Kluyveromyces lactis: one gene and its partner. The protein of the gene in region 2 binds, or shares a complex with, the protein of the main gene of each other region. Links are inferred from orthologs where the notes say so. Each region holds a gene or a part of one and is shown on either strand. Other genes may lie near its edges.

Region 1 (4,108 bases), on a different chromosome or scaffold from region 2:
TACGAGTACTTATCGGCTCCAAAGAGTACATACCGGATAGATCAACTTTTGACAATATGCTGAAAGGAGTCGTTTTCCAGTATGACAATGTGAAAGACGATAACAAAGTACCGAAGGTCGGTCCATCGACTAAAAGCTTAATGTTGAAGTGGAGTGAACAGTATTGGCCGTTAATTTGGAGAGGAAATCCTAATGACCAGATATTAAACGACTATATATTTGACATGACAGAGATTCGGTCATTGTTAACCAAGATAGCAGAAGAGTCTCGAGCAATCCGAGATTCGGATAGCATGCAACTTCCAATAGTATCGGCATTCGTTAATCCAAAATCTGGTAAAATTATAATATCAAAGGATTATAGACATAGTGGATCTCCCCTCGATCACAGTGTTATGGTCGGAATAAATGAGGTAGCTAAAGAAGAGCAGGAGAGAAGAGACCGTGTCCAAAACGGTACCGCGTCAGAAAAAGATATACATCAAGGGGAAACTTATCTCTGCTTAGATTTTGACGTATACACCAGTCATGAGCCGTGCTCAATGTGCAGCATGGCACTAATTCATTCCAGAGTGAAAAGATGCATATTCATCAATCCTATGTCGGTCAGCGGTGCACTGAAACCTGATTCAGGTGATGGATACTGCATGCATTCAAACAAAGATTTGAACTCCAAGTATGAAGTCTTCCAATGGGTTGGTGAAGAATTGGAAGTGCCTGGAATAGATTCTACCGTGTGTTCTTGAGCTTTTCAACTAGAAGGTTGGTTGGTTTCCATGTCCGTTATTAATTTTGCAACATTATCGTACATGGAAGTATCTATTGCTTCAATGTCACTGAGTTCCATTGCATATTTCAAAAGTTTTGTATTTTTATTATCTAGTTCAATGTTTAATTGATTTAAATGCTGCTGCAACATATCATCAATGCTATGCAATAGTTTATTTACTTCCTCGAGAGAAATGGAGTCTTCAATTTGTTCCCGTTCGAGCTCAACTCTTATCAAAGACAGCTTGTTGTCGATGAGTTTATCTATTTTTTCAATGATCCGTTGATCATTCTCTTCATAACTTTTGTATAACTGTGACGCGATCACAGTGTTGGATTCCGGTATCGTTCTAGAAAATAGATCAACAAACTGATCCTCAGTATACAAACGTGAGACTAAAATGCCGTCTAAATGCTTGTATAATACTTCGTGGAGCATAGTAATTGAAGTAATAAGGATTTCGGGTATGTACTTTTTATTATTCCCAGCGTACGCATTACTGATTCGCGATGATCTTTGATCTTTTTCTATTTGTTGTGGAGATTTTTGGCGACTAAATAAATAATAGTCTGACGAAAAGGAAGAGTATTTGTGCAAAACCACAGATGACGGTGGTATTAATACATTAATGATACATAAATCTCCACGAATAGATGGAGAACTTTATTTTCTATACAGCTTTGTCTAATGGGCGTCTGTGAAGTTAAACTGCTTGGCCGGAAAAGAGAACACACTTATATTCTCAAAGTAGTTTCCAAGTCATCCATTCTCCTCTTGCCTCTTCTTCTGGATCTTCCGTCATCGACCTTGGCACTTTCTCTCTTTAATCTTCTCATGTTTCTCTCCTTTTCAATTTCACGCTTTTCGATTTCCCATTGTGAGAGGACTTCTACCTTAGGGAACCATGAGGCGCCAAGTGTATCTATATCTAGACGGATACCTGATGTGTAACCGAAAGCTGCCTTATTTTCTACATGGGCCAAATTCAAATTACCTTCGAGCCAATCCTTCTTTACCTTTAGCAAGGATTCATGCAACGAATGTGCAATGGCAGGAACGAACTCTCTTTGCAAGCCCAGGTCCTGTACCACCAATTCTGCGAATTGTTCTGGGCATAATGAATCGTCATTAAGGTTCCATTCAAAAGTGTCATCATAAAGCTTGGAATCGAGATTTGCAGTCAAATTTATTATCACGTGTAAATCAGGAACCTGTAAAGATGCCAATGTTTCATATTCTTGTAATTGTTCGTTAATCATAGAGATAATCTGTGTATATGGGGAATTATTTGGGTTGGAAAGCACTGGGAAATCAAGATCCTGGCACAAGATCGTAGCAAACTGTTCTGGAGTCATCGAATGGTCGTTCAAATTCCACATGAAAAAATCTGCTAACTTGTGTCCACTGAATTCAACGTTTAACCGTATTGGAACCATTATCGGGCTTTCTATATCCACTTGCTGCGGATCCTGGATAGAATCTCCAAGAAGGTCTTTATAACTGATAGCGATCCTACTTTGCACGAAAGTTTCCCTAATCCTAGGATATTTCAACAAAGCTAGCGGAGTGGCAGAATCATCCTGACTTTCAAGGTCGGGCAAGTCGTTTAGTTTGATGCGATCCAATTCTGAGCTAGGATTTGACGTTCCTGCAGTACCATCGTTTGTACCGTCTGGCCCAGTATCTGCAGCCGGCGTTCCGCCAGTGACAGCACCGGGGTCACCAGACCCGGGCGTGCCCTCACCAATGCCACCATCTTCACCGAGTCCCGCCGCTGCGGCGGCGGTGGCGGCAGCAGCCGCAGCACCTCCATCACTACCGTCTACTTGATCATAGTAGTCCCCACCCCTACGACGACCATCCGAATCGTCCACATCATCCTCCAAATCATCCTCATCGTTCTTGTCGATGAATTCATCCAAGAGATCCGTATCGAACTCAGCGTAGTTCACCTGTTTACCCCTCTTGTTTCTCGATAACTGCGCAGCAGTAAACAACGGAACATCCTCGTTCTTCACTCTATTATGGAAGTTACTCAAGTAGGCTTGCGGTACGAGCGACATATCAATACAATTTTGGGAGGCAGGTCGTAGTTGCTTTGTCTGCTGTATATCAGCACGCTTCAATGAGTAAACCGTTTGTTTGTAGTAACACTATCATAGTCTTTATTCAACCAGCCCTAAAACACGAACTTGCACTTCTATTCTTGAATTGATGGATACTTTTTCATATTCGTATACAGTGATGAGTTGATTGAACAATCTAAGTGTTACCCTGAGTAAACATTTCACTTGTCAAAAGAAAAGGAATCCAGTTTGAAAAAAATGAAAAAAAGAACACTTTCTCAGAAAAATCCGTACCGTTTTGGAACCATTTACTATGGCAAAATCGTTTTTCAAAGGGGTGGACCCATGATTTTTGAAAATAAACTTGGTTTTTCTCAAATTGTCGCAGGGCACGCCGCAGCGTGCCCTGTTTTCTGCTGTTGCCTTTCCAGTATCTATCTCATCGCACTTACAAGGAAGAAAAAAAATTTTCTTCCACCGCACATTGCATGCACTTTGAATACACGTAGATGCCATAATTCCATAGTACATACGTCTTACATATCATATATCTCATAAATATATATATATATATATTGGAACTTTTCGAATTAGAGTTTTTCATCAGCTTTTCAGTATTTTTTTTTCGTCAATTTGATTCAACGTTCCTTGTAAGAAGAAGAAGAGGAATTGATTCTTTCCTAGTTTCTTCTCTCACCAGGTTTAACTATCCATTAACGATGTCTTTCTCTGATTTCTCCAAGGTCGAAACCTTGCAAAAGTTGAACACTTTCTTGGCTGACAAGTCTTACATTGAAGGGTATGTGAAATAATTATAGTGGTGGTTTTCCAATGGCATCAAGCAGTTTTTTGAATAAGAGAATTCTTCAAAGTTTACTATTTCAATGATGAACAAATTCTTTGGTCCGTGTTTATGACGGGAAGTAAGACCCCCGGTATGAGTGACAAAGAGACAGTACCTAGACAGTACGATTCTGATTTATCTTTTTTATTGAATTCTCTTTTCAGCAAGCAAGCTTAGCTGCCATACAAAAAAATTTCATTTTTTTGTTCTTTCCATTTTACTAACTAACAATTGCATCAATATAGTACCTCTGCTACTCAAGCTGACGTCTCTGCTTTCAAGGCTTTCCAATCTACTTACCCAGAATTCTCTAGATGGTTCAACCACATTGCTTCCAAGGCTGATCAATTCGAATCCTTGCCAGCTGCTACTTCTACACCAGCTGCTGCTGAAGAAGAAGATGACGATGACGAAGTCGATTTGTTCGGT
Region 2 (5,433 bases):
ACGCCAGGCAGTATCCAGTGGCTGTACATTTCAATCGTAGAACAGCTTATAACTATGCTGAAGAGGCTTTCAGGAAGACGTGTAAAATACATCAAAGGTTGCCTCCTGGTGCTATCTTGGTTTTTATGACAGGACAGCAAGAGATCACGCACATGGTAAAAAGGTTAAGAAAAGAGTTTCCTTTCCCCAAGAAACATCAAACTCTCATTCAAAATGACCACATACCTACAGTGAAAATAGATGCCAAAACTGCAGATGTAGAAGCTGAAGATATCGACTTCAGTGTCAGAGTTAGAGAGGAACAAGAATTTGACGATTGTTTACTCTCTGATGAGGAAGATATTGAGGACAAAGAAGAGGACGAAGAAGAAGGTTTTGAAGAAACACTTGAAGAAGGTCAGACGGATAGAGATCCACTATATGTTCTTCCTCTTTACTCGCTATTGCCCACCAAAGAGCAAATGAAGGTCTTCCTTGATCCCCCACCAAACTCCAGATTATGTGTTGTTGCTACTAATGTGGCAGAAACATCATTGACCATACCGGGAGTAAGATACGTCGTTGATTGTGGTAGATCAAAGGAAAGAAAGTTTGATGAAAATAATGGTGTTCAGAGTTTCGAAATTGACTGGATTAGCAAAGCTTCTGCTGGCCAAAGAAGTGGTAGAGCAGGGCGTACAGGGCCTGGTCATTGTTATCGTTTATACTCCTCTGCAGTTTTCGAAAGAGATTTTGAGCAGTTTTCTAAGCCTGAAATTTTAAGAATGCCTGTGGAGAGTATAGTTTTGCAAATGAAGAGCATGGCTGTTCATAATATTGTGAATTTTCCATTCCCTACCCCACCCGAAAGACCAGCTTTGATGAAGTCAATAAAGCTCTTACAACACCTAGGTGCACTCGACAGTAATGAAAGAATCACTGATGATGGTAAAGCAATGAGTTTGTTTCCGCTAAGTCCAAGATTTTCTAAAATGCTGCTTGTTGGTAATGAAAGCGACTGTTTGAAATATGTTGTTACCATTGTCAGTGCCCTTTCAGTAGGTGAGCCGTTTTTATCTGAACAAGAGCTTGGTATCATGGATACTGTGCCCAAGACACAAGATGAAGGACAATTAGATGACTATCCTGATCACGAAGCTGAGGAAAGAAAAAGGCTATTGCGCTCCAAGTATGTTAAAAGCAAAATTAGATTTAGTAAGCTTGATAAATTCAGTGATGTTTTCCGTCTTTTAAGTGCAGTATCTGCGTTGGATTTCATTCCAAAGGATCAGCACAGTTCTTTCATGGAAAAAAATTTCTTAAGGGCAAAAACCGTAGAGGAGATTATGAAGTTGAGAAAGCAGGTGATGTTCATCATCAGGTCAGTTACTTCGAGAGAAAATGTAGCTGTAAATGTTAAAGACGAAGACTTGAAGAGCTCGATCCCCACCGATGTTCAAATCAAATTACTCAAGCAAATGATCACAGCAGGATTTATCGACCAGGTGGCCGTTCGCGCAGACCAGTTATTCCCGGAAGACGTTACTATCAACAAAACCAACATTTTCAATATCCCTTATGTTCCAGTCCTTGCTGAGAAAACATCTTCTTTGGATGATATCTTTGTTTATATTCATCCAACCTCAATTCTCAACAATTCTGGCGAGCAACCTCCGAAATACTTGGTTTTCCAATCACTACATGTCAATAAAAATAATGAAAAGGCGAAAACAAGGATGAAGTCTCTTTGTGACATTAAAAGCACGCCATTGGCTAACGTTGCAAGAAAGGGCTCGTTACTCACTTACGGAAAACCAATCACTGGACAAGGTTTGAAACCTATTGATTTATCGCCAACAGAAAGATTCTGCTATGTTGTTCCTAGATTTGGATCTTGCAATGATAGCGACATCAAGATTGGTTGGGAACTCAATCCTATCCCTGTTCATCAAGAGAAAGAGAAAGGTGTATGGACGGTCAAGAAATTCCTTACTCCAAAAGCATTTAAAAACTATCAAGCTTCGAAAAGACCCTAGAACTACACCAGTACAATTTATAGAATTAATTAACTCATATAATACCAATTGCATTGGAATAATTAAAGGCCAATACCTAGCTTGTTAGGCTATGACTGGGTACTGTTGCTGTGACAGGAATCTCTGTAAAAGCTGTCAATGGATGCCAGTTGGATCATGATGTACGGTTTTGATGTTTTTCATAATGAAAACACAGGTTTTGGCGCAGGTTGATCAATAAAGGCTTCTTACATTACTGCTGAATGACAAACTGATGGGCAGTGAGAGAGTACAAGGTCTGCAAACTCTTTTATAGTGGGCTAAAAATAAGTAAACAATGGTAGAGCTGCTAAAAGAGAATTTTTTTCAGAACTTACTAACTGTTTTAAAAGGGTATGTGAATATAAAAACAACACATTTTTCATTCGAATTATGTTGCATTCGCACATGTTTTTGTCTAGAATCGGTGATAATAATAAATTAAAGACCAGCATACGATGACCTGGGGTTCCTCAAGTCTTTATTTTATGTTTTCAGTGTTAGATTTGCCAAAGCATGATTTTATTTTACAATCAAATACTAACAGTATTAATTTTATTTTGATTTAATTAGTGCATCTTCGAAATGCAGAGCTTTAGATGAAAGGTTTCCTAAAGAATTCTACGAGCCTGATCCAACACACATATACGATTCTTACGTGAAGTTTCTAAGGGCCAAGTTTGATGAAAATCCAGATATCAAAATAGCAGAAGATATTGATTCAATTTCCATATCTGATAAATTTGCTAGTGGAGATTACCAGAAGCATGAAGATTCTGTTTATCGGATTTACCATGATATTAAATTAGTATGCTCCATTTTAATTCACTACTACTCTCAAGGAACGAGGTCGTACCAAATGGTCGACAAATTCTACAAATTTGCAGCAGAATTGATTCTAAGGGAATGTTATAGAGTTGGAGCCAAACTGGTGGGAGACTTCGCGGCAGACATTGACTTCAAAGAAAGTGATTTTTCAAAAACCATTTCCAATGATTTCCTTAAAATTAGTCAAGTTTATCAGCTCCCCGTTACTGAAACTTACCATACGCAGACAAAGGAGGGACATTTGTTCAGTTCGGTGATAACGAGGTCAGTACTTGATCAGAGGCCAAAGGAAGTACCATACGAGGAATGTGAAATTGTGAAAATTATTCCTCAAGCAACATCCCAACCAGCCAATAGATTGGGATTCGTAGCAGCTAACACTTCCAATGTTCCTGATCCAACAATTTCTCCTACAGAAATCATGACCTCCTTTCTGCATCCGAATTGGTACCCGCTACCCACTACTAAATGGTTGGAGTATGGCGACTATCAATCTTTTGCTCCGAGTATCTCGGAGTTCAAGTCTGTAACAGATTGTTCCCGTAAAGGAGACATATGGTTGGAAAAGGTCGGATACAAAAGCTGGTTAGAAATAGAATCGAAGAAGAGAGGGGCTGCGGAAGCAGAAGATAAAAATGTTGAAGATGAAAAAATAAAGGATGAGGGTATTGAAGATCAAAAGGTTGAGGAAGCAAATGACAGTATCGGATCTGACAACCAAAAAAAGGAATCAAATGAAAATGATGAAGAGCAGAATGTTGCCACGGATGAAGAGCAAGATACAAATGAGGAGGGAGATGAAGTAATAGTGACAACGGAGCCAGCTGGACCTGTCAATATTAATTTGAAAAATCTTTATGACTGGCAACCTAGCCATGAGATACATGATGAAGATATAACGGCTTTTGAGCAAGGTGAACAGCAAAGGTTATTGACAGAGATATTGCTAAAGCTAAAGGCATGTAAATCGAGAAGGGTCAAGCTGAACAAGATATCAAAACCAACAAGTGAGGAAGTTTCCCTTTATCATAGAGCACAGAACATCTTGAAAGAAGCTCTACTTTCTAAACAGATTGTGACATCTCCAAAATTGCACGAGAAACATTTCCCAGTCCTTCAGACTAATTATGCCGGATCAGTTCCTGTCGTCAAGACCATATCGACTAGAAAAAAGAAAAGTAAGAAAGTTATGCAGTGAAGTAGATATTTCCGTATAGAATCTATAAATCGCAGCTGTGGTAGTGTGCAATAATCTGTGGGGCTAGTTTATTATCAGTGATAGCTAACGGTTACTATTATTTGGAGTTATTTTCTGAAACCATCAGTGTTTCGATTTTTTTACTTCCTCAATTACTTTCGAAGGTAAATGTCCAAGAACAATTAAAGATTATATAAAGAACAAAGAAATTAACCACAACAAAGGTACAAGAGAAGAGATCAACAAAGCAGATCCAATAAGTACAATTTACGAATTGATTATAGATTAAACAGAATCCATCAAAACTATATAAAATGCCTACTTAGACTTAAAAATGCACGTCCGCTCCCATGAGGTATGAAAATACAAGATAACAATTCAATGAACCAATTGTCAACCATATAACAAATGAACTGATGCTCAACAGTCTTCCATTGGTGTAGTCAATGGACTTAACGCCTTTCGATAATAATCTACTTTCTTCAGTACTGTCTGCAGATGCGGGTGCAGAATCCACATCCACAACGGTCATAATTTTATGATTCATAGTGAAGTAAATCAAAGGAGCAGAAACGATTGGTAAAATCAATGAGAGAACCACTTGACTCAAGTTTAGAATACTAGATACCCCCTTTTCTCCCAAGAAAGCCGTAACTAAGAAACAGGGTACGATGGCTATCAACCTTGTCAATAGACGAGTCACCCAAGGTTCAAGTGACCACTCTAAAAACCCTTCTGATACAATTTGACCTGCCATGGTACAAATGACACCTGCTGATTGACCACTAAAGAGCATTGCCAATGCAAATACGAGCCCAGCAGCTGGAGACACATAATGGGACAATAATTCATAAATAGAGAGTAAATCAGCATCCTCTGCATCGGGTTGCCCATATAAAGTCGCACCAGCGACTATTAAAATGGCAGCATTGACGAAAGTGGCGATGAAAAACAACGACACTATCAATTCAGCGTACGAATATCGCAACGTGTACTCAATGGCACCTACTGAAGGTTGTTCCTTAATTTTACCGTATTTTTTTAAGTCGTAATCGAAAACCCTTGGTTTTACGAGAGAGGAACCCAAAAATAAGGAATGAGGCATCACAGTAGCACCAAGAATACCTAAAGAGATATACATCGCTTGTTGTTCTTTGAAGATGATGGGATTTGGAATGAAGCCTTTGAACACCTCTAACTTGCTTGGTACGGATATCTTGAACAATTCAATAGCGAAACAAATAACTGTCGCTCCAACTAAAATCCCAACAAAAGTTTCGAACGCCCGGACCCGTTTCATGGAATGTTCATCTGGCCTGTAAAACAGAAGTATCAGCAACACATCAAAAACGGTCAACAGCACACCCCATAACA

Evidence for each region. Proteins that work in one complex are often made in the same cells at the same time.
Region 1: RSC58 (region 2) and SFH1 share a complex: the UniProt entries of both Saccharomyces cerevisiae proteins name them as parts of the two forms of the RSC complex. The link is inferred for Kluyveromyces lactis from reciprocal best matches to the Saccharomyces cerevisiae genes RSC58 and SFH1.

The regions. Positions count from the first base shown.
Region 1 is NC_006039.1:1,627,974-1,632,081, forward strand, and holds SFH1 (Sfh1p), read right to left. Parts: upstream 2,833-4,108; coding exon 1,504-2,832; downstream 1-1,503. Other genes in the region: TAD3 (Tad3p), read left to right, coding at 1-746; NKP2 (Nkp2p), read right to left, coding at 752-1,207; EFB1 (translation elongation factor 1 subunit beta), read left to right, coding at 3,555-3,634, 3,925-4,108. UniProt on the Saccharomyces cerevisiae protein: Component of the chromatin structure-remodeling complex (RSC), which is involved in transcription regulation and nucleosome positioning. RSC is responsible for the transfer of a histone octamer from a nucleosome core particle to naked DNA.
Region 2 is NC_006042.1:1,592,663-1,598,095, reverse strand, and holds RSC58 (Rsc58p), read left to right. Parts: upstream 1-2,331; coding exon 2,332-2,387; intron 2,388-2,606; coding exon 2,607-4,059; downstream 4,060-5,433. Other genes in the region: ATP-dependent RNA helicase ECM16, read left to right, coding at 1-2,015; putative divalent metal ion transporter SMF3, read right to left, coding at 4,388-5,433. UniProt on the Saccharomyces cerevisiae protein: Component of the chromatin structure-remodeling complex (RSC), which is involved in transcription regulation and nucleosome positioning. RSC is responsible for the transfer of a histone octamer from a nucleosome core particle to naked DNA.